Ovis aries: one gene and its partner. The main gene of each other region encodes a partner of the protein of the gene in region 2 in a complex. Links are inferred from orthologs where the notes say so. Each region holds a gene or a part of one and is shown on either strand. Other genes may lie near its edges.

Region 1 (9,647 bases), on a different chromosome or scaffold from region 2:
CTGGGCAACAAATTCACCTATGAGAGAAACAAAGTGTTTTGATAGAATGTCCCCTTGCCTTCAAGGAGAAGGGGACCATAATCGGAGGCTTCAAACTACAACTCTCTTCTCAGAACTCACCCTCCTTCTCATAGAGAACATTAAATGGTTGTAGCAGTTCATGTTTGGCGCACTCCACCACACCCATGCGGGCCTTCTTCTCATCTTCAAATGCTCTGGGGAGGGGAAGACAAATTCAGGTATCCTTAACTCCCTGTCATGTTTTACCACTTTGTTCCTGTTTTTAAATAACTCCTACCCTCAGGCAGAAATCATGCGTAGGATTGCTTTTTGTTTACACTACTTCCTATGAGAGGGAGAAACAGAGAAGGCATGCATGCAGGCTGGAGCTACAAGTCTAGGTAGAAGAGGAGGGAAAGAGGGCAAGCAGGGTAGGGGAAGGAAAGAGATCTGGCTGTATGGTCTACGGGTCAGACTGTTCCAAGTCCTGTCCTCGCTAAGTGCAGTAGTACCTTAAAGTAAAGGGCATGGCATCAAAACGCCTTTCAACCTCACTGAAGAAGGCACGGGAAGTTTTCATTTTCAGGCCATACTGCTTAGAGGGGTCTCTCTTGTAAATGGTGGTTCTCTGTCCTGCATCCTTGGCCTATAAAACATCATATTTGATCTGGTGCTCTTGGAACCCACCCCCAGCCTCCCCTCTCTGCCGGATCTGGTAAACATTCATCACCTTGCCCTCTCCTGAGCTGACGAGAACATCCACAGCATATACTTCATGTACCTCAAATTCTGCTTTTTCATGGTCTTTCCTAAAAGAACAGAAAGGGAACAATAAGGAGCAATAAGTGGTTCCTGGAGCTTAGAAGAGAAGGTGGATAAGATTAGCCTGGAGTATGGAAGAACTTCGTAACTAGTCTTATATGACAGAAGGTAGACAGTGGGATACAGGGCACCTACTTCTGCTGGTCTGTGGGATTCTGGATAATGGTTTTCTCTCCATCAATGACATGCTGCTTCAACTGGTGTGACAGCATACCTGTAGAGGACAAAGCCTGTGGCACCACTCATCTAGAATCCCCAAAGGTTTCCAACCCACCTACCCAAGTAGAGCCACGGAGCAGGCAATGAGAGCAAAGTGCCCAGCTATGGAAACGGGGCACTGAGGTTTGCGGCTTGGATTATGCCAGAGCCAGGGTGGATGCTCAAGGGAACAAAAGTCTTAATTCTGCTAAACCACTCATACTGAGACCCTCAACCCCACTATCTGAAGTCTCACCTTCTATTGGTGTGCAATTAAATGAGTGGGCAACTTTGTTCCAGGCTTCTGTCACTTGTGTGTTCTAGAAGTACAAGATCAAATAAAACGTAAAATACCAGGAGCTAGTAAGTTGTCTACTATGAGAAGCAGCAGCATAAAGAACTGAGTTCTAATATCCTCCAGCAAATGCAATGATTCTCAGTAATTTTTCATTTCATAGCCCTAGCATCTTACAACCTAGAAATCAAATTTGCATACCATTTTACAAAGCACTATCACAAAGATGGTCTGCTTAGACAACAATTCTGTAAGGTGACTAGTGCCAACAATTCTGTATGGTAATCTACATCCTAATTTGGAGGAGGAAACTGAGGCTCAGAAGGGTTATATGATTTGCTCAAGGTTAAACCAGTTAACCAAAAGAACCTGGTATAAACTCAGGTTTTCGGATCACAGTGTTTAGTCCATGATACCTGGCATTCTAACCTGTTGAAAGGGTACAGAAAGTTTTATTTTGTCCTCTTTACCTCTTTCAATCATGAGCTGATCCTCACCTAAATTATAGTTAAGAGAAAAAGAAAAGTGAATTTCCAATCATAGCTATTATTAAACTACATGTCAGGTACTGTGATAATCACTTTATATGGATCATCTCAATCTTCACAACCCTGTGAGAATGAGGCACAATTTAATTTTTCCCACTTTACAGATGAGGAAATTTTGAAGTTATTTCATTTTAAATCAGTAGTGGGTGGTAATGGGATGAGAATCCAGAAAGTCTCAGGTCATAGCTAGACAACAGCCACTACATTAATAGTATCTTATAGTAAGCATATAAATAATAAAAATAATCAATATGTAAAATATTAATAGCTAACAAAAGGGTTAACTCTGTGCCAGGTACTATTCAAAGTGCTTTATAATAGCTCTTTGATAGATACCACTGCAAGAAAACTACAACAGAGGCTGAAGTAAAAACGATGCAATTAAGTGATAATGGGGACAAACGGATAAAAAGGGTGAAGAGCACAGAGAAAGAGGATGCTTTATGTATTGAACAGGTTCTGAAATCTAAGTGTTAGACAAAGTCTCCACTAGTAGTCTAACATGTTATTGTATGAATTCATGAGAAATTTATGATCCCTGGACGTCCTAATATTGTCTTGGAAGGGTCTTTGGCCTTTCTTTGCCACAAATTTACTGGTACTATTATTATTTTTGTGTTATAAGCTTTTAAAACTTAGTTTCAATATCTGTGTTTTATTGTGAGCTATCTATCTCAAATTATTTCCAGGAACAATACACATCCAAAACATGAAAAAGGAAGGATCTCTATAGGCTCCATAAGAAAAGGAGCACCCATCATCCCCTTACAGTGAGCATCATACCACCTAAGGTAGGCACTAAGATTTAACATCTCTTCGGTTTAAACTCTTTTAGTTCCTGCCTCTTCTCTTTCAGTATAGAATAGCAGTACATCCTGAACGCACCTTTGGCTCTATCAAGCTTTGGACTTGGACTAAACAGCTCACCTGATTTCCAGGTTTGACCAGGCGTAGGGCAGCTTCAGCACAAAGGTGAGCTGCCTTAATGACATCTGCTTTCCGCCCTGTTACTTGGGTCCCCTGTAGAGGAGGAAATTCAGTCAGTGCCTTCCAAAAAAGCTGATCAGTTAATATCTGTGTGTCCATTATGTATCCAGTGGTCAGGAGAGAAACCACCCTTTCCCCTTTTATTCTTTAGAGATTCTCAAAACTTAATGTCGTGGTAGTAGGTGAGGATAAGAGGCAGCAGTGGGAAAAAAAAAAACAACCCAGCAGCAGTGAACCCTCCCCAGCTCCCCACTGGCTGCATAGAGTTCAAAGCAGTCCACCTACCTGAGCCACATCAACCACAAAAGTGTGAGCCACATTAGCGATGAAGCCATCCACGTGGACCCCAAGGTCACTGAAAGGCAAGAGCAGAGTACAGCATTAGCAACTGGCACTATTGTGAATGCCGAGGAAAAAGACAAGTGCTCTAAAATGGTTTAAGCTTACATTTTTACCAAGTCACCTTCCTTGAGAATATAGTCCTGGTCGCTCTTCAAAGGGGAGAAGTGACATACACAGTTATTTACTGAAATGCTGGTGGGAAAGGCAATACCTGTAAAGAAACAATCAGCCTTACTGCCCTGCTCGCTCTCTTGGAACCCTCCTGCCCCTCTGAAAAATGAATGGATTTTCTTCAGGGTCTTAAGTTTGATCAGTCTGGATTGAGTGGGAAACTGAATTCCCCTTGCCATTCCAAATTTCCAAATATCTCAACCAGTGCTGGGGTAAAGGTTGCATTATTACAGTAAAACAAACAGGACTCAATAAGGGTCAAACTTAATTAGGAGGGGATTGTTTTTTTACCTTTCTTCATTTCTTTTTCTTTTTTGAAAATCTTCCCTGTTTCTTCCATTATCATGGCATCCCCTTTCTCACACAGGCTCAGTACCGACACACCTGAACAGGATGCTTCCACCAAAGACCGAAGTACCCCTGGGAACAGAATCCCATATATCAGTCCTGAATGTGTTGTCTAAGTTAATGTCCAAGAAACACCTAGAAGTCGGACTTAGAGTTTCTGAGTCCAACTTAGAAATATTCCCTAGTACCACTGCTCTAAGGATAAAAAAAAGAGGAATATGTTTTGCCTCCTAGAATGTACCTGTCATCTCTATAAATCTCTACCTTCCTCTCCTTAACTTAAAAAAGCCAACACTCCCTTCCCTCCTTTATATAGTGTGACAGCTAGGTATGCATCACCTGTCTCCTAAGGCAAGGGAGACTTTCCAAAGATGATACTTGTGGTATGGTAGGAGATTTATGAACTTCAAGGGCATTCTCACCAAGATATCCAACACATGCAAAGGAGACTGGAGGAAATTTATAGGCACCAGGGACAAGAAGGTAGACATACAATTGCTGACTCTAAGCTGATGCATTGTTAAATGCTACTTTCTTCCTTTCCCAGACACCCCAATTAGGAGGTGTTAGTAATCTCAATTTATGTAGACTTATTTCTTCAAATAACAAGTCAAGAAGACTTAACCTTGGTCCCTGGGCTCAAAGAAGTATGTGACCCAAAAGAGTTTCAAACTGGTACTGGGAATCACAGGTGCCTCAGAAGTTATAAACTGCAAGAGGGAAAATTTTTTTTCCTGATTTAAACCACTACATATCCATTGTGTTACAAAGCATTTATTCTGTTCACCCATACCCTCTCCATGGTCCATCCTGGACTTCAGATTTTATTTTTGTGATCCAAGTTTTGGTGATTTTTTGAAAGTATGAAAAACTCAGATTTTCAGTCACAGGATCAAAAGCATCCTAAATGCCTGTCTTTACTGTCAGAACCATTTAAAAGCCCAAAGACAAACATTTTGTGTCCTCTAACTGGGTTTTAAATTGTAAAGAGAGAAAATAGAAAGCGAGACATCTGTAGAGAGTGGCAGGCAGCTGCTGAGAAAGTCAAGAGCACAATCTTATTAAGGATGACTTACGAGATTCTAACTTCAGACCCCCTTTAACAGCACTATTCATAGGTTTGACTGGCTGGGGTGAGAAGGACCTCAAAACACTCCCACAGTTGTGAAACACCTAAGATCAAATTAGACGACTAACTAAAGCCAACCCCGCAGATTGGAGGTACAATGAACAACTTCAAGAACAGTCAAACAAGAGTTATGGGGTGCTCTCTAATAGTCCCTGAGTTGGCCCTAGAGTAGAAGGCGGCCTCCACCAGGGAAGGAGTTGAAGTAAAGAACGAAGGACTACAGCAAAGCACGTGGTAGGCAAGCTGGTGTCAGGGACACAGCGGAGGAAGGTAGCCGGCGAGCCGCAGGGGACCTGGCAACACGTGCGGGCCAGGCTCCTGACGGCGGGGAGCCGCGACAAAATAGAAGCGCTTCATTTTCGAGGTGGTCTCGCTGCCACCAATATCAGAGGCAGAAATCTGAACTGAAGGGTGAGGAACAGGAGGTACACCTCGCCTCCTTACCAACGGCCTAGGGTCGGGGCTGGCCAGGGGCCCAGCTCTGCTCTTCTCCCAGCCGCCCTGCCGACCGTCCGCCAGAATCTCCAGAGACTCCAGCCCAGGCCCAGCCTCTCGGGTCCCAGGCGCGACACGGAGCCTGCCCACCACGCCACCTCCAGCAGACCTGAACTGGGCCCTCACTAACCCACACTGCGTGACCCCACCACTCCAGCTCTCAGGAGCCAACCCATCACCGTCTCCCTTGATTCTCCCTCCCAGCCTCAATATTCGGACCCCTGAGGCCGCACTCACGGTTAGCAATGTCGCCCCCCATCTTATACTTGGTCACGACCAGGTCCTCGGCGATAGTTTGCTCCTGTTGCTCGTCCTCGCCCGACATCTTCCCACCACCACCGCAGCCTCGTTTCTCTTGAGCCGCCGCCTCTGTCGCCCTTCTCAGCCACAAGCTGTGGTCAGAAACCCCTTCGATCCGAGAACAGACCGCGAGCAAAAGCGCGAGCAAGCTAGGGAGCGGGAGGGCAGGCGAGAGCGAGAAACTGCGAACGCGCGGGCTGAGGCGCAGGGCACGCTGGGACAATGAGTCCCTCCTACTGCCAACCCCTAGCCGCCCTCGTGGACTACTGAACTACAATCCCCAGCATGCTTTTCGCGCCCCTAAGCCAGGCCCTGGGGCCTTGCCCTCCGAGAGCCTCGCACGCTGGAATCGCCGAGCACGCTGGGAAGGGTCAGGCTCCGGCGGGAAGGCGGAGCCGTTGGAAAGCACGAGGAGAAGCGTGGTTTCTCCCTGAAAAACCATATACACCAGGAACGACGAGAGATAACCCGTAATAGAGAGGGGCGGGGTAAGGGGGAGGGGCGGAGCTACGGCAGCGAAATAGGTTTGGAGGCTGAGGGGCGGGGTGGAGCCGAGGCGAGTCGGGAGGATCGTAATAAGGGTGGGGAGGTGGGATACGCCCTTCCCTGAGTCCCTGGAGCGGCCGGCAAGACCGGCCGGGCCAGTCCTCTTGTCCTCAGGTGCTGGGAGAACCGGGAGGGGCAGAGCAGGTATGGAAAAAGATCGGGAGGGAGTCCGGGAAGCAGGGGCTGCTTGGGCAGCCAGATTTCTGAGCGATTATCCCGATCTAAAGACCGGACTCCCACTGAAGATGGCACTGTTGTTCTAACAAGCTTTGATGGCCATCTGGGGGAAGTGTTCACGGAGACTTTTTTTTTAAGAGAATGAGTTTTAAAACATGAATTTCAGTATTCTACCTCTTAGGACTTTTTCTAACGTCCCTGAACGCGTTGTTTTGTTATTCCCAGTTGGTTGCCCTATAGAGATTTAATAGTAAAACCCTAAAATGAAAAGGACTGTGCTCTATGCTCGTCTTAAGGGAATAAGGAAAAGTAGGGATGGAGAAAGCGACATGGGGCCCAGTAGGATTGTCAAGAGACAGAAGCATCCACTGCTGAGAGACAGGGAAAAAGAGTGTTCTATCTCATACACTTTGACAGGTTTTCATTTGACAGACAGAAAGCTGCAAAACTTTGGCATTTTTATTCAGACGTATAAAAACAAAACAAAAAATTTCAGGGATAAAAACAGATACCCCAGTTTCCCATCCAAAGGGACAGAGGTCTGAAGCTGGGTCCTCTTTCTATCCCTACTGGAAGCTTCCCACGACTGGATGAGAATAGCTCCTGAAAGTGGCTCTTGGGACCCCCGTGAATCTGTCCCTTGGGTGGAGCTCATATACAGCACATGTAGGCTACGGTTTACACAGAGATGTCCAGTTATTTTTCCTTCTGACCACCCCCTTCCACTTCTAGGATAAGAGGTCAGGGTGAAGGAGGAGGCTACAGTAGTTGTTGGAGTTAGACTTGATTCAGTGCAAAAACAAGAAGACAATGCCCCTTACCAGGGCTCTGGCTTACATCAGTTTTCCTTGATACCTTACAGTAAGAGCACATGCATTGGAAGATTTTGAATCATGGACCTGCTACTTGATTTACTTAATCTCTTTAAGGCTCCTCTATCCATGGGATTCTCCAGGCAAGAATACTGGAGTGGGTTGCCATTCCCTCCTCCAGGGGATCTACCCGACCCAGGGTTCGAACCCGTGTCTCCTGTGTCTCCTGAATTGCAGGCGGATTCTTAACCCACTGAGCCATCAGGCAAGTCCCTCTCTAAGGCTCAGTTTCCTTATTTGTAAAATAGGCTAATACCTAGGTCACAGAGTTGATGTCAAGGATGAAGTGAGATAAATTTAGGTAAAGTTTAGCAGGATGCTTGGCACATAGTAAATGCTCAATTAATAGTAATCATTAATATCTACTCCCAACCTCTTTCTTCACTCCACAAGATTTCACTTCTCATTCTTTCTGCAGGGTTAAGGATCGTAAGCCAAAATTTTCCTTTCCCCTGCCAGGTTCCCCCCTTTCCTCTTCCTTTAAAGTCTAAAGGGAAATAAAGGCATACTTTAAAGCCTAGTGTCAACAAGTCAGAGTCTAAGAAAAAGGGACAAGAGTAATCCTTCATATCTCCAGGGAGTTCCCCTGAGGAAGCTGAGGAATGGGATTGGGAAAGCACACAAAATAGGGAAAACCATCTCCTTTCCTGGGATCAGGAAAGAGAAAAAGTGCACAGCTGGCTACATAACCACAAGAAATTTGTGTCAAAGTGTTTAAGGCCTCCATAATTTGAATGGAATTGTCTAGGACTAGGAAATGGGGCTGAGACCTGTGAGGGAGAGAGACCAAGAAGAGGGTTACTCTCCAGAGGCACTAGCTGCCATCAAATGCTCCCTGAGCACCTCAGTGAGTAAGGGTTATATTCTCTGGGCATTAGCTTTGGGGAAAAGCCTGCTATGCCAGTAATCAGGGTTATCAAAGGCAGAGTCAGTGGCTTCTAAACTACGTAAAGCTTTGAGGCGGGCATAGTGGACCTGGGGCCCACGGAGTACAGGCCCCTGGAAAGCTCTCATTTCTTCATACCCTTGCTCAGAGGCTGGGCAGGCGCCCATGGCTGCATAGTCCCCCCCAGCGCCTCCTCCACCACGTCGCCGATTCATATATTCATAGTCCTCATCTGGAGTTGTGCTGGCGTTGGGCATGTTGGGCACGGGGTTGAGTGGGCAACTCTGTGTGCTGCCCAGGGAGGCACTGAGGTCTGATCCCACATCCATGTACTCATAACCCAGCTCCTCGAGGGAACTTGGCCTAGGAGGACGAGATGGACTGCACCTTCTCCTCCGGTTCATGTATTCATATTCCTCATCATCGTCGTCTTCTGTACCCAGAACAGAACTGAGACCCACTGAAGAAAGGGTGCCTTCCCGGGAGGAGGTACCTAGGGGTAGAGAAGAGAGGCTAGGTATGTGGTATTACTTCATGGTAATAGGCAGTGGGGAGTAGAAGGATGTTAGGAAAAAATGAATAGGGAAGGATATGCTCGGGGAAGACAAAAGGATTAAGAGGAGCCTGCAAAAGGAGGATTAGAGAAAGATTTGAGGAAAGCAGAGCAGAATCAGGCACCTTTGATGCGTGCATCTGGCATGACATAACCATTGACATCCTCTTCCTCTAACCCTGGTGGGGACTGTGGGGTGACAGGAGTAAGCAGGCTGTGGCGCTGGGAATGGTAGGCACTGTCTCCCCTTGGCCGTGGGCTCCGGCTCCGGCTCCTACACATAGACACCTTCTCCTGGAGCTCAGCCTCGGAGCCTGTCACATGGCCCTCCGATGATTCTGATGCCAGGCGTCCCCGTGGCATTGGGTGCAGAGAGGCTGGACGAGGGTACCGTTCATTGCCTCCAAAAATTGCAGACTCCTAAGGAGGAGAATAATACATGGTGATTTATACAGAAACGAGCGAAGAAGAGAAATTTGTCTAGAAAGAGATTAGGCTGTTCAGCACCTTCTGTTTTGTAGAACCCTGATCAAACGAGATTTCCAAAGTCTCCCCTGCTACTACCTACCAATCCTAAGGCACTGCCACCCAACCTCTTGGTATCCTCTTTTATTAATTTTTAAAAAAATGTTTTATTTTATATTGGAGCCTAGTTGATTAACAATGTTATGTTAGTTTCAGGTGTACAACAAAGTTATATGTGCATCTATTCTTTTTCAAATTCTTTTCCCAACTAGGTTGTTACAGAATCTTGAAGCAGAGTTCTCTGCCCTATACAGTAGGTACTCGTTGGTTATCCACTTTAAGTATAGCATCTTGGCCTCCTCCTAAACAGACCTTACCTGGCCAACCTCCCCAAGATTTCCCTGGTTCATAGGCATATATCCAGATGATGGACTTACAAGGCTCTGGCTCTAGGATGAAAAAAGTGAGGAAGAGATTTAGATTGAGAGAGAAATCTGCTCACTAGAAAGGCCT
Region 2 (9,647 bases):
ACCGTCGGAAGAAGAAGACTTCCATAGCTTCCGCGTAGAGCATGCAAAGTTTGAAACTTTCTCAGACAGAAAGTCACCGACCAGAGGCAAACATTGAAAGGCTGTAACAAGCCCTCAGTGCCCACTGCGCACGGCCCTGACCCCAAGAGGCCCCACAGCCTGGATGCGGGTCGCGCCTCCTCATCCCGACTCAGCAGGCCCCGCACGGCCCCGCAGCCTGGCCACTGAGACGCTGGGCTGGTGTTCTCAGAGTCCGCCACCCTCCGCGAGTCCATTGGCATGGCAAACGGACTGCCCGGCCATGTGGGCCCGGGGCCCCCTCTGCCTCCGTCCCTGCCTCCCTCCCGGGACGCCGCGCCCTGTGCCCCTGGAGCTGTCGCCACAGAGCAGGGCCGGCACACGCCGTGCACAGCTCCTCCCCCTCTGACCGTGGCCCCGCTGGCCAAAGCCTCCCACAGCGCCTGGGCCTGTGGCCCGTCACTCCTGGTGGCTCCAGCCTCTCTGGTTCTGCGGGAGCGGCCCCGAGCAGGATCAGAGCTGGCGGCCTGTGCAACACGTGGGCACCGACCGGCCGGACGTCCACGTCAGGGCAGCACAGACCTGCCCGGCTGATGTCCTGGTGGGCTGTCCCCAACGCAGGGGCGTCCCACAAGCCAGTATCTGTGGTCCACGCCCAGCCCGTTGGTGAATTCAAGCGGGGCTGGCAGGAGGCCTCACGGCTAGCCCTGTCCAGCTTGGGGCACTGTGCCCACCTGGGCTGAGGCTGACCAGAGGCACGCACACACACACTCAGGCCCCAGTCCGTCCTTCTGTTGACCACAAGCCGCCCTGCCTTCTACCCGTGTGAGGACGGAACGTCCCCGGGGAGGTCAGCACATCCAGACACCCATCGGTGGGCTCTTCATCCAGAGGGCACCTGCTGAGGCCCATCTGTGGGGCTGAGTCCCTACTGGACAGGGTCAGACCCTGGCTGGTCATCCCAGCCCAGGGGCATCCTACGGCGCGCTGACAGGGGCCCGCCCCACAGGACCCTGAGCACATTCTCGTGCCCTCTCGCACTGGGTCTGTCGCGTCCACACTTAGCATTGGCTGCCTGGGTGTTTCTTACGCTTCTTTCTGACTATCCTTCAAAACCTGGAGCGTAAGAGTTGTAAGCAGATAACCGCTCCGGCTTCCCGAGGCTGGGTGCGCTCTGCTGTGGTATGCTCCCACACCAGGGCCAGAGCAGGGGTCCACGACCCACCTCCCCCAAGTCCCCTGAGGCTGGCCCCGTCCGCATGCCTCCTAGGGAGACAGCGAGCCTCCCAGGCCCAGACCGAGGACCTTGCAGCTGCCTGTCTCAGTCAGGGTGCTGGGGACGCCTCCCCTCCACCTGTGTCAGGCCTGGGGACGCCTCCCCTCTGCTTGCAGCTAGGCCTGGGGATGCCTCCCCTCCACCTGTGTCAGGCCTGGGGACGCCTCCCCTCTGCTTGCAGCTAGGCCTGGCGATACTGCTGAAAAACGAAAAGCAAGGTGGTTTGACAGGCGCTAGCCCCCCCCCAGGGACCACAGTGATGGGAGATCTCCCCCCTACTCTGCATTGTCACCCGTGGTCTCAAGCCTCCATCCAAACTTTCCTTGTGGACATGGCTCATTCTGGGGCCTGAGGGTGCGGCCTTCTGCCTCCTGGCAGCCCCTTCAACAAGGGGAAGGGCTTCCAGTTGGGGCAGGATCGTGACGGGAGAGCAGGAGGCTAGGGCCAGAGCTAAGAAAGAAGGCGGGGGGTGGGGTGGGGGGGAGGGGCCTCGAGCCAGGCACGTGTGCACGCGTGTCCACGTGTGTGCCTGGGAGGGAGGTATGGTTGGGAGTCTGCCCGCTGTGGCGGGACCTGTGGCCCCCACCGAGGTCAGGAATCAGCGTTTGCTCCGAATGTGATATGTCTGGGGCACAGCTGCTTCTGGCTTAAGCGTTGACAAAGACCTCGTCCCACGAGAAGAATGTGCCTTTATTGTCAGTCCTGATAACGACCTAACCGCAGGAAGAACACGGCTCCCACCTCGGGGGCTCCAGTGGGCTCCAGTGGGCCAACAGGCGACCCAGGGTCCAGGCCAGTATGGGGGTGGGGGGCATCGTGAGGGCGAGAAGGACTGAGAACTGGGAGGGTCTGGATGGCGCGTGGTGGGTGTGGACCTGGGCAGGGTCTGCGTGCCCAGGGCGCCTCGCCTGGGCAGCACTGTACCCTGGGTGCTGGGGGCAGAGCCTCTTAAGAGCCCTGGGGCCGTGGATGGACAGACAGACGGGCAGGCCTGAGGCATGAAGGCAGTAGTAGCGGCGGGGCTTGTGCCATGAGGCTGAGGGTGCCTGGCTCAGGGGGCCCTCCTCAGCAACCCTCAGAGCCGGTGGGCGGGCTCAGCGGTCCCAGCTAAACAAGGACCCTGCACCAAGAGCCCGGGCTCTGAGAGGGCTGCTCCTGCCCCGGAAAGGCCTGCGATGTCCCCGGCTGGCAGCAACCCTCTGCAGGGGCCGGCCAAGAGCCACGATAGCAAGCACAGATCAGAGACACCTGGCAGCGTGAGGGAGCCCCCACGGCACAACCCCAGTCTGGAGGGGTGTGGGGACCAGGCTGGGGGGCCGGGGGATGGGGCCCAGGCTGGGGGCTGGGGGCATGGGCCAGCAGCTCTGGGCCATGAAGGGTGGTGAGGAGCCCAAGCTTGCCCTGTGCTTAGCCTGGAATCCTGCTCCACCATGGAAATCCTGGCCAGCCCTGCTGGCCACTGGTCACTCCGTGCATCTTGAAAGGCCCCCCTTTGGCTGTGCCCTCTGTGCCACCCAGGACACTGAGGCAGAGAGGCACAGCCTGGTGTTGAGTGGCTGGCGCTGAGGCCTGGCCTGGGCCCTGGGGCCGTGCATGACAGGATGGCCACTGGGAGCCCGGCCCCAGCCTGCTCTCCTGCTGTGTCCAGCACCCAGGGGCCGTGCTGTCTCCAGCTCCCCGCCCTGGGCAGGGGGCCCGGACAGAGCAAAGCTCCAGTGAGTGCCTCTGGGCGCCTGGGGAAGGGGTCATCCTCACCACCACCACCCCCCGCACCCCCCGGCCCCCCTGCACCCCCCGCACCCCCCCCCGCGCCCCCCGGCCCACCCCCCGCCCGCACCCCCCCTCCCCGCCCCCGCCCCGCACTGGGGGGCTGGGTGGAGCCGCTCTTGCTGGCTGCGGCGGCCCCGGGCGCCCTCTGGTGGCCGCACTCAGCTTGTGCCTGCTCTGCTGGAGGGCGCCGGCGCTCCGGGTCGGCCAGGGCCCCGGGGTGGGGGGGGGGGCTGTGCCTCACACCCACCGCCCCCCACCACCCGGGGAGGGGCAAGGGGGAGGGACCTGGCGAGTAATGCAGATGCCCCGCAGCTCCGGGCCGGTCGGCTGCGCCGGCCTCCAGGCGAAGCCCCAGGAAGGAGCTCCTGACCCCGAGTCCCCCTGCTCATTCTTCTTGGACCCCAGTCCCGCTGGTTCCTCTCTGACCCCGAGTGCCCCCCGTAACTCTCTGACCCCGAGTGCCCCCCGTAACTCTCTGACCCTGAGTGCCCCCCCGTAACTCTCTGACCCCGAGTGCCCCCTGTAACTCTCTGACCCTGAGTCCCCTCAGTTCCTCTCTGACCCCGAGTGCCCCCCGTAACTCTCTGACCCCGAGTTCCCACTTACGCTCTGACTCTGGGGTTCCTGCGGAGTGGCTGACACCTCATCTGAGTCTTGTCGGATGAGGCAGCAGAGCGAGCCGCTGCTGGGGCAAGCCCCGGGAACCCGGCCACCTCCCTGGCACCCCACAGCACCTACCCCAGGACCTCCGCCCCAGCTGCCCCTCCTTCCCTCCCTCCCTCCCGCTGGTTCAGGTGGGCTGGTGTCTCCATCCACCCCTTGGTCCTCTTGGAGGTGGAGGATCTCACTGGTGGCCCGGGGGTGGAGGAGAGAGAGCCCGTCTGAATCCTGCGCAGCACAGATGGGGCTGGTGGTGCAGCCCCCGGGGAAACTGGGAGATGCAGAGGGACCCTGGCACCAAGAAGTGACCTGAGGGGCCACCCTGGGGGGAGGTATGTGGCCCAGGCCGGGGCGGAGGGCGGGGCAGCTCTAGCCTGGCAGGACTGAGGGCAGGCCCTGCTCCCCCAGGAGGCACGTGGGTAGCAGGCATCGTGCCCACGTGGAGAGCGGGGTGGGGGCTAGCCGGACTGTGGTTGCAGGACCTCCTCCCCAGGCCAGGGCCAGACCAGAGTCCTGAGTGCAGTGCGGGCTCTATGCCCAGCTCTGGGCTGGGTGCCGGAGGACCTCAGACTAGGGGGTGAGGAAGATGGGGGAGAGACAGGGTGCTGCGGAAGGGACAGGCGAGGCTGCGGGAAGACACGAGTGCCAGGTTCACAGCTCCACACGCTGTGGCGGAGCCCCAGACCCAGACCACCTGCTCGGGAACTGACTGCTGCGGGTCCAGATACACTGAGACAGGGCAGGTGGGACCTGCTTGGGCCGGCAGGACCTCCGGAAGCCTGGACCCCGAGGCTCCCAGTGCGGGGCTGGGCGTGCCCTCATCGGAAGGACGCCCCTGGGCTCACAGACCCTCACCTGGCGCGGGCCCTGCGCGGCAACTCGGGTGACCTGTTAAAGGGGTGCGAGGGAGAGCGGGTCACACACAGAATGAGACCCTTGGAGCAGCTTTTCTCCTTGTCCCTAAACACCTTTGGGTTTGGGTTAAAGGGGCACGGGAGCCTCCAATTCCTGCTTTCACTGTGACACGTTGCGCAGAGGTTAGAAATGGTGACATGTTGTAATAACCCAATATTTAATTATTTAAGATCAAAAGAAGCAGGCTGGGGATCTCCTGCTGCGTGCTCAGGATAACAGCCAATCTGGTCCGAGTCCCGAGGGGAACGCGACTCACACCAGCGGTTTGGGGACCCACCAGCGGGGCGCAGGGGACGCGAGGATGGGGAGCGAGGTTGGGGCTCCGGGCAGGGGCCCCGGGCAGCATTCCCTCCCTCGTCCTCTGGGCGGCGGGCGCGGCGCCGGCGCCGGGGCATTCCCCGTCCCCGCCGTGCGGGTGCTTCCCGGCGGCTAGCCGCCCCAGGAAAGTTCCCCAGCCCCTGATCCGCTCGGCCGATGGAAAGTTTCCGTGGCTGCGTGGCGCCGGCCCAAGGCGCCGGGTCGAGTAGGGCGGACACGGCTCAGGTTGTGCCGCGACCGGAGGGGTGCGCGGAGCGAGGCGCACGGCCGGCCGGGCAGGACCCCAGGCCGCGCACAAAGGGACCCGCCCCCGCCGGTCCGGGATCTCGCGCACCGCGGGGCGGTGCGGGTGGAGCGGGGCCGGCCTGGACCCCCGGCACTGACCTCTGCCCAGACCTCGATTCCGGCCCTTGCCCGGCCCGCAGCCCGGGTGCCGGCCCGACCCCGACCCGGGTTCCCGGCCGGAGCTTACCTGGAGCGCGGTTGTGGGCGGTGCCGCAGAACGGCCCCCGCCCCAGACGGGCGTCCGCCGGTCCCTCGGCGCGCGGCGTCCCCGGGCGGGCGCGGGTGACCGTCCGGGGGCCTCCGATCGCGCCGGTGCGGGGCGCACCCTCAGCGCCCCGCGCAACCCGGGCCAGCCCTCCGCCCTTGCGCGGCCCGTGCGCAAAGCCGGCCTGCCGGCGCCGCGACCCTCGCCCCTCCCCGCCGCCGCCACTGTTCCCATTGGTCGGGAGGCCCGGCAACCGGCGCCGACTGGACGAGCGCGGGGAGACGCCGGCTTGCCATTGGCCACTGGGGGTGTCCGTCTCTGCCGATCACGGCCCCTCGTGGAGCGACGGAGGCCAGGGCACCTGCCGGGACCTATGCGGCTGTGGCCCGGGCAGCTGGCCGCCCTCTCCCGGCCGCCTTCGAGGACGTGCCCAGGCCATGCGGCTCGCACGGGAAGCGGGGCAGGCCTGGCGCCCCATCCCCGGACTTGGGCCGGTCGGCTCTATCGCCACCCCCAAGTTCCCGGGTATCCTCCTCCAGCGCCTGCTGTTGGCTGCACGCCGCGCCCGCCCAACGGCACCAGTTATATTTCTCACAGTCCGCGAGGGAGCGTTCTGCTGCCCTCCCGTTTTACAGACGGGAAACCCACCGAGGCGTTGAGAGGTTCTCGCCAGCTTTAGGTCATGGGAGGAGGCGGTGGGGCTCCAACCCAGTCCATCTGGGCGGTCTCCCACCCTCATCGCCCCAGCGTTCCCACTGTGGAGGCCCGATGGGTGGGAGCCCTCGGGAACGGTGGCTTTTCTCCTCCTTCAGGGGTGAATTTATCACAGCGTGGGCTCCGCCCACCCAGCAGGGCCCGCGGGACTGGCCTCCCTCCCTGACCCAGGCTGCAGATGGGGGCTGGAAGGAGTCAGAGTTCAGGGAAGGGGGCCTCTGCCCCTGGCCCATGGCCACAGGGCCCAGGAGCCCCGCCCCCCACTCTCACCCACCCTCTGCCTGGCTTCTGGCCAGTTCTGTAGGGCCATCCCTGGGGCACGTGTGACATGCTGCAGGGAGAGCCAGATGTCAGCTGGATGTTAGAAGCTCCCAACAGCTGCAGATGCTTGAGGTCAAAAGGGCGACCACACGAGGTCACGAGCTCCCATCTAAGAATGTATGTGTTCAGAGGTAGGGTGACAGGGAACCCGCGGTCGCCCTGAGGCCCCACCCTGACCCACCTCGTTGGCCGACAGCGGAGTGGGTTTTCCACCTCCCTAACCCAAGCGCGGCTGCACCCCTTTTGCAGAAAACGGGAAGGTGCTGGTCAGGAGGGCTTGGTCACTAGGGGTCCCGCACCTCTGGGCCCAGTGGCTTGGGCCAGATCACTCTGCAGCGGCTGCCTGTTGTCCCCCTGGGCATTGCCACTTGCCTCCAAGCCCTGGATTCTGCTTATCCAACACTACCACCTCTCAGCTGGACTGCAGAATCCAGCTGCCCGGAGGGGAATCACCGGCACCACCCAGCTTGACTCTCTTGCCAGGTGGCAGGAGGAGGACTAGTGTCTCTTGCTGGGTCTGCCACCTGCTGGCCAGGAGTCCTCGGACACGGGGAGCCCAAGGACAGGAGGAGACCTTGGACACGGGGTGGGGGGGGGCCTGGGACACCGGGGGCCCAAGGACAGGCGGAGCCCTGGGCACGGGGGGCCTGGGGAGTCCCGGGGAGTCCCGGGACATGGAGTCCTTGGACCCAGGGAACCCCGGGACAGGGAGAGCCCCGGGACACAGGGAGTCGTTGCTTTCCTTGCCTGCAAAGGGCTTCTGTGGAGCAGCGCAGATGAGACGGCACAGCAGTGGAGTGGAATGGGCTTTAGGGGTGTCACGCAGCTTTGAGTTGGACTGTTGCCTGGGGTTAATACCAGTCAGGCCTTTGCCCTCTCTGAGTCCCAGTTTTCACAGGGCATCAGCTCTCCAAGAAAGGATCAGGCACCTACATCCTCACTGTGGGGTTGTGGAATTAATCCAGCCACTGCCACTGGCCACTTAATTCTGACTTCAAGCAAGTGACACATAATTGCTCTAAGCATCAATGTTTGCATCTCTAAAGTGGAAAAATGAGCACTGTGTCCTGGAATGCTGGGTTAGAGCATTTAGCACACTGAAGTGAAGAGCCAACTCATTGGCAAAGACCCTGATGCTGGGAGAGATTGCAGGCAGGAAGAGAAGGGGGCAGCAGAGGATGAGATGGTTGGATGGCATCACCGACTCAAAGGACATGAATCTGAGCAAACTCTGGAAGATAGTGAGGGACAGGGAAGCCTAGTGTGCTGCAGTCCATGGGGTCTCAAAGAGTCGGACAGAAGTTAATCCCTGAACAACAACAAAGCACCTTGTTGGGTGTGGGCTCAGGCCCATCTGCCTCTTTCTGACCCCAAGGACTATACATAGCATGCCAGGCTCCTCTGCTCATGGGATTTCCCAGGCCAGAATACAGGAGCAGAGTGAGTTGTCATTCCCTCCTCCAAGGGATCTTCCGGATTCGGGGATCGAACCAGCATCTCTTGCATCTCCTGCGTTGGCAGGCGGATTCTGTACCACTGTGCCACCTGGGAAGAGCCATTATTAGCAAGCTTGCTATAATCGTCATCCTCGTCATAGTTTGCTGAGGGCCCATTTGGAGCAAGCCCTGGGCCTCTGAATCTCCACTCAGACCCCAGACACAGCCCAGAGGCCACTGTGGGCAGGGAGCCGCAGCGAACACCTCTGTCCTCCGGTAAGGGACCTAGTCAGTGGCTTTTGCTCAGTTGCGATGGTGTGGAGATCAGGCCGGCAGCCCTGCATCCTGAGGTCGGCCCTGCCGAACAGCTTCGAGGCGGGTTAACGGCTGAGGTGACCGGTCCGACGTCTGTCCTGACCGTAGCAGGGATGTCCGCGGTCAGAGCTGCAACGGGGAAAGATGGCCAGTCCAGAGGCACGGACTGGGAGGCGGGGAGGCAGCCCCCAGGTGCGCACCCTGCGGACCCTCCTGCAGGGCCCCGTGCAGCGCTGGCCAGGGACGTGTCCACGAGGGTAGGGCTGGGGGCCGGCACCTTCCTGCCCGCGGGGGTCACGAGGCGCCTCCGGGCGCTTGGCGCAGCCCCGGGGGCGGGGCGCGGGGAGTTGCAGCCCGGAGCGACGGCGTGGGCAGCCACTGGTGCCCGGGCTCGCGCCTTGCCGCCCCGCCCCCTTGCCTGGCTGCCCAATGGCGAGCGCGCGGACGGCAGGGGGCGGGGCCTGGGCGGTGGCGGCTGCGGCGCGCGGGCGCGGCACCCGGAAGTCGGCGGCCGCGGCGGAGGCGGTGAGTGCGAGCCGGGATGCGGGCGGCGGGCGGCGCTCCCTGCGGGGCGCGGGGCTCGGGACTCGGACTCAGCAGTGGCCACCGCGCCCGTCCCGATTTCCCCTTCTCGAAGCGGTGATTGCCCGTCCAGCGCCTGGTCTGGTCGGAGACCGAGCGGACCCCGGCCGACGGAGCGTCCCTCGCGTTCCTGAAACCACGTTTCCAGTGTCCCCGCCTGGACGGAGCGCGGGCCTCGCAGGCCCGGCGGGTGTCCCTGCCAGGGTGGGCGGGCTACGCGGCTGTGGGCCGGGGAGCCCTGGGTCACGCTGCAGGGGATAGCTGATGCCTGTCCGGAGAGGCAGCCGGGGCCAGGTCATAAGCGCGCCTCGACACAGCTTTCCTGGGCTGGCTCGGTCGTCAGGACCTCCTCACGGGAGTTCAGGGCAAGGAGCTGGGCAGGGCTGCACCCTGGGTAAGGCCCTGTAGCCACTGGTTTTGAAGACACTCCTGCCCCAGCAGCTGCCCCGTGCGCCTCTGGGCCACAGATCTGCCGTGGGCCTTCTGCCCTTGGACAGCTCCTGAGGCCCAGCCAGCCTCTGCTGGGGCAGTCACGTGGTCAGCCAGGCCTGCCCTGCTGTCCTGCTGCGGGCCTGTCTACCGGTGTGTTGCTGTTTAGGTCTCGGTGGACAAGGGGTGGAGCTGTGAGGGGTGCCTACAGCCGGGAGCTTGTGGGAACTGCTTTCTGCTGCTTGCTCCTTGTGCTCTGGGCAGCCTTTCAGGGCAAGTGTCTGAGGCCAGATGACAGCATTCACAGTGAAGAAAACTCAGGCTGAGGGCCAGTGGTGTCCCCAAGGTCACTCAGAGCCAGGCTGGCCTGTCCTCCTGAGCCCCTCTCCCAGAAGCCTTCCTG

Evidence for each region. The genes of interacting proteins can lie anywhere in the genome.
Region 1: ARVCF (region 2) and PA2G4 share a complex: the UniProt entries of both Homo sapiens proteins name them as parts of the ribonucleoprotein complex. The link is inferred for Ovis aries from reciprocal best matches to the Homo sapiens genes ARVCF and PA2G4.

Annotation. Positions count from the first base shown.
Region 1 is NC_056056.1:163,427,577-163,437,223, forward strand, and holds the start of PA2G4 (proliferation-associated protein 2G4), read right to left. Parts: upstream 5,852-9,647; 5' UTR 5,661-5,851; coding exon 5,573-5,660; intron 3,784-5,572; coding exon 3,655-3,783; intron 3,404-3,654; coding exon 3,298-3,403; intron 3,206-3,297; coding exon 3,136-3,205; intron 2,884-3,135; coding exon 2,791-2,883; intron 1,341-2,790; coding exon 1,277-1,340; intron 1,037-1,276; coding exon 958-1,036; intron 810-957; coding exon 731-809; intron 647-730; coding exon 513-646; intron 216-512; coding exon 121-215; intron 18-120; coding exon 1-17. Other genes in the region: ERBB3 (receptor tyrosine-protein kinase erbB-3), read right to left, coding at 8,089-8,609, 8,795-9,089, 9,512-9,583. UniProt on the Homo sapiens protein: May play a role in a ERBB3-regulated signal transduction pathway. Seems be involved in growth regulation. Acts a corepressor of the androgen receptor (AR) and is regulated by the ERBB3 ligand neuregulin-1/heregulin (HRG).
Region 2 is NC_056070.1:72,970,365-72,980,011, forward strand, and holds the start of ARVCF (splicing regulator ARVCF), read right to left. Parts: upstream 5,652-9,647; 5' UTR 5,430-5,651; intron 1-5,429. Other genes in the region: TANGO2 (transport and Golgi organization protein 2 homolog), read left to right, coding at 9,080-9,209. UniProt on the Homo sapiens protein: Contributes to the regulation of alternative splicing of pre-mRNAs.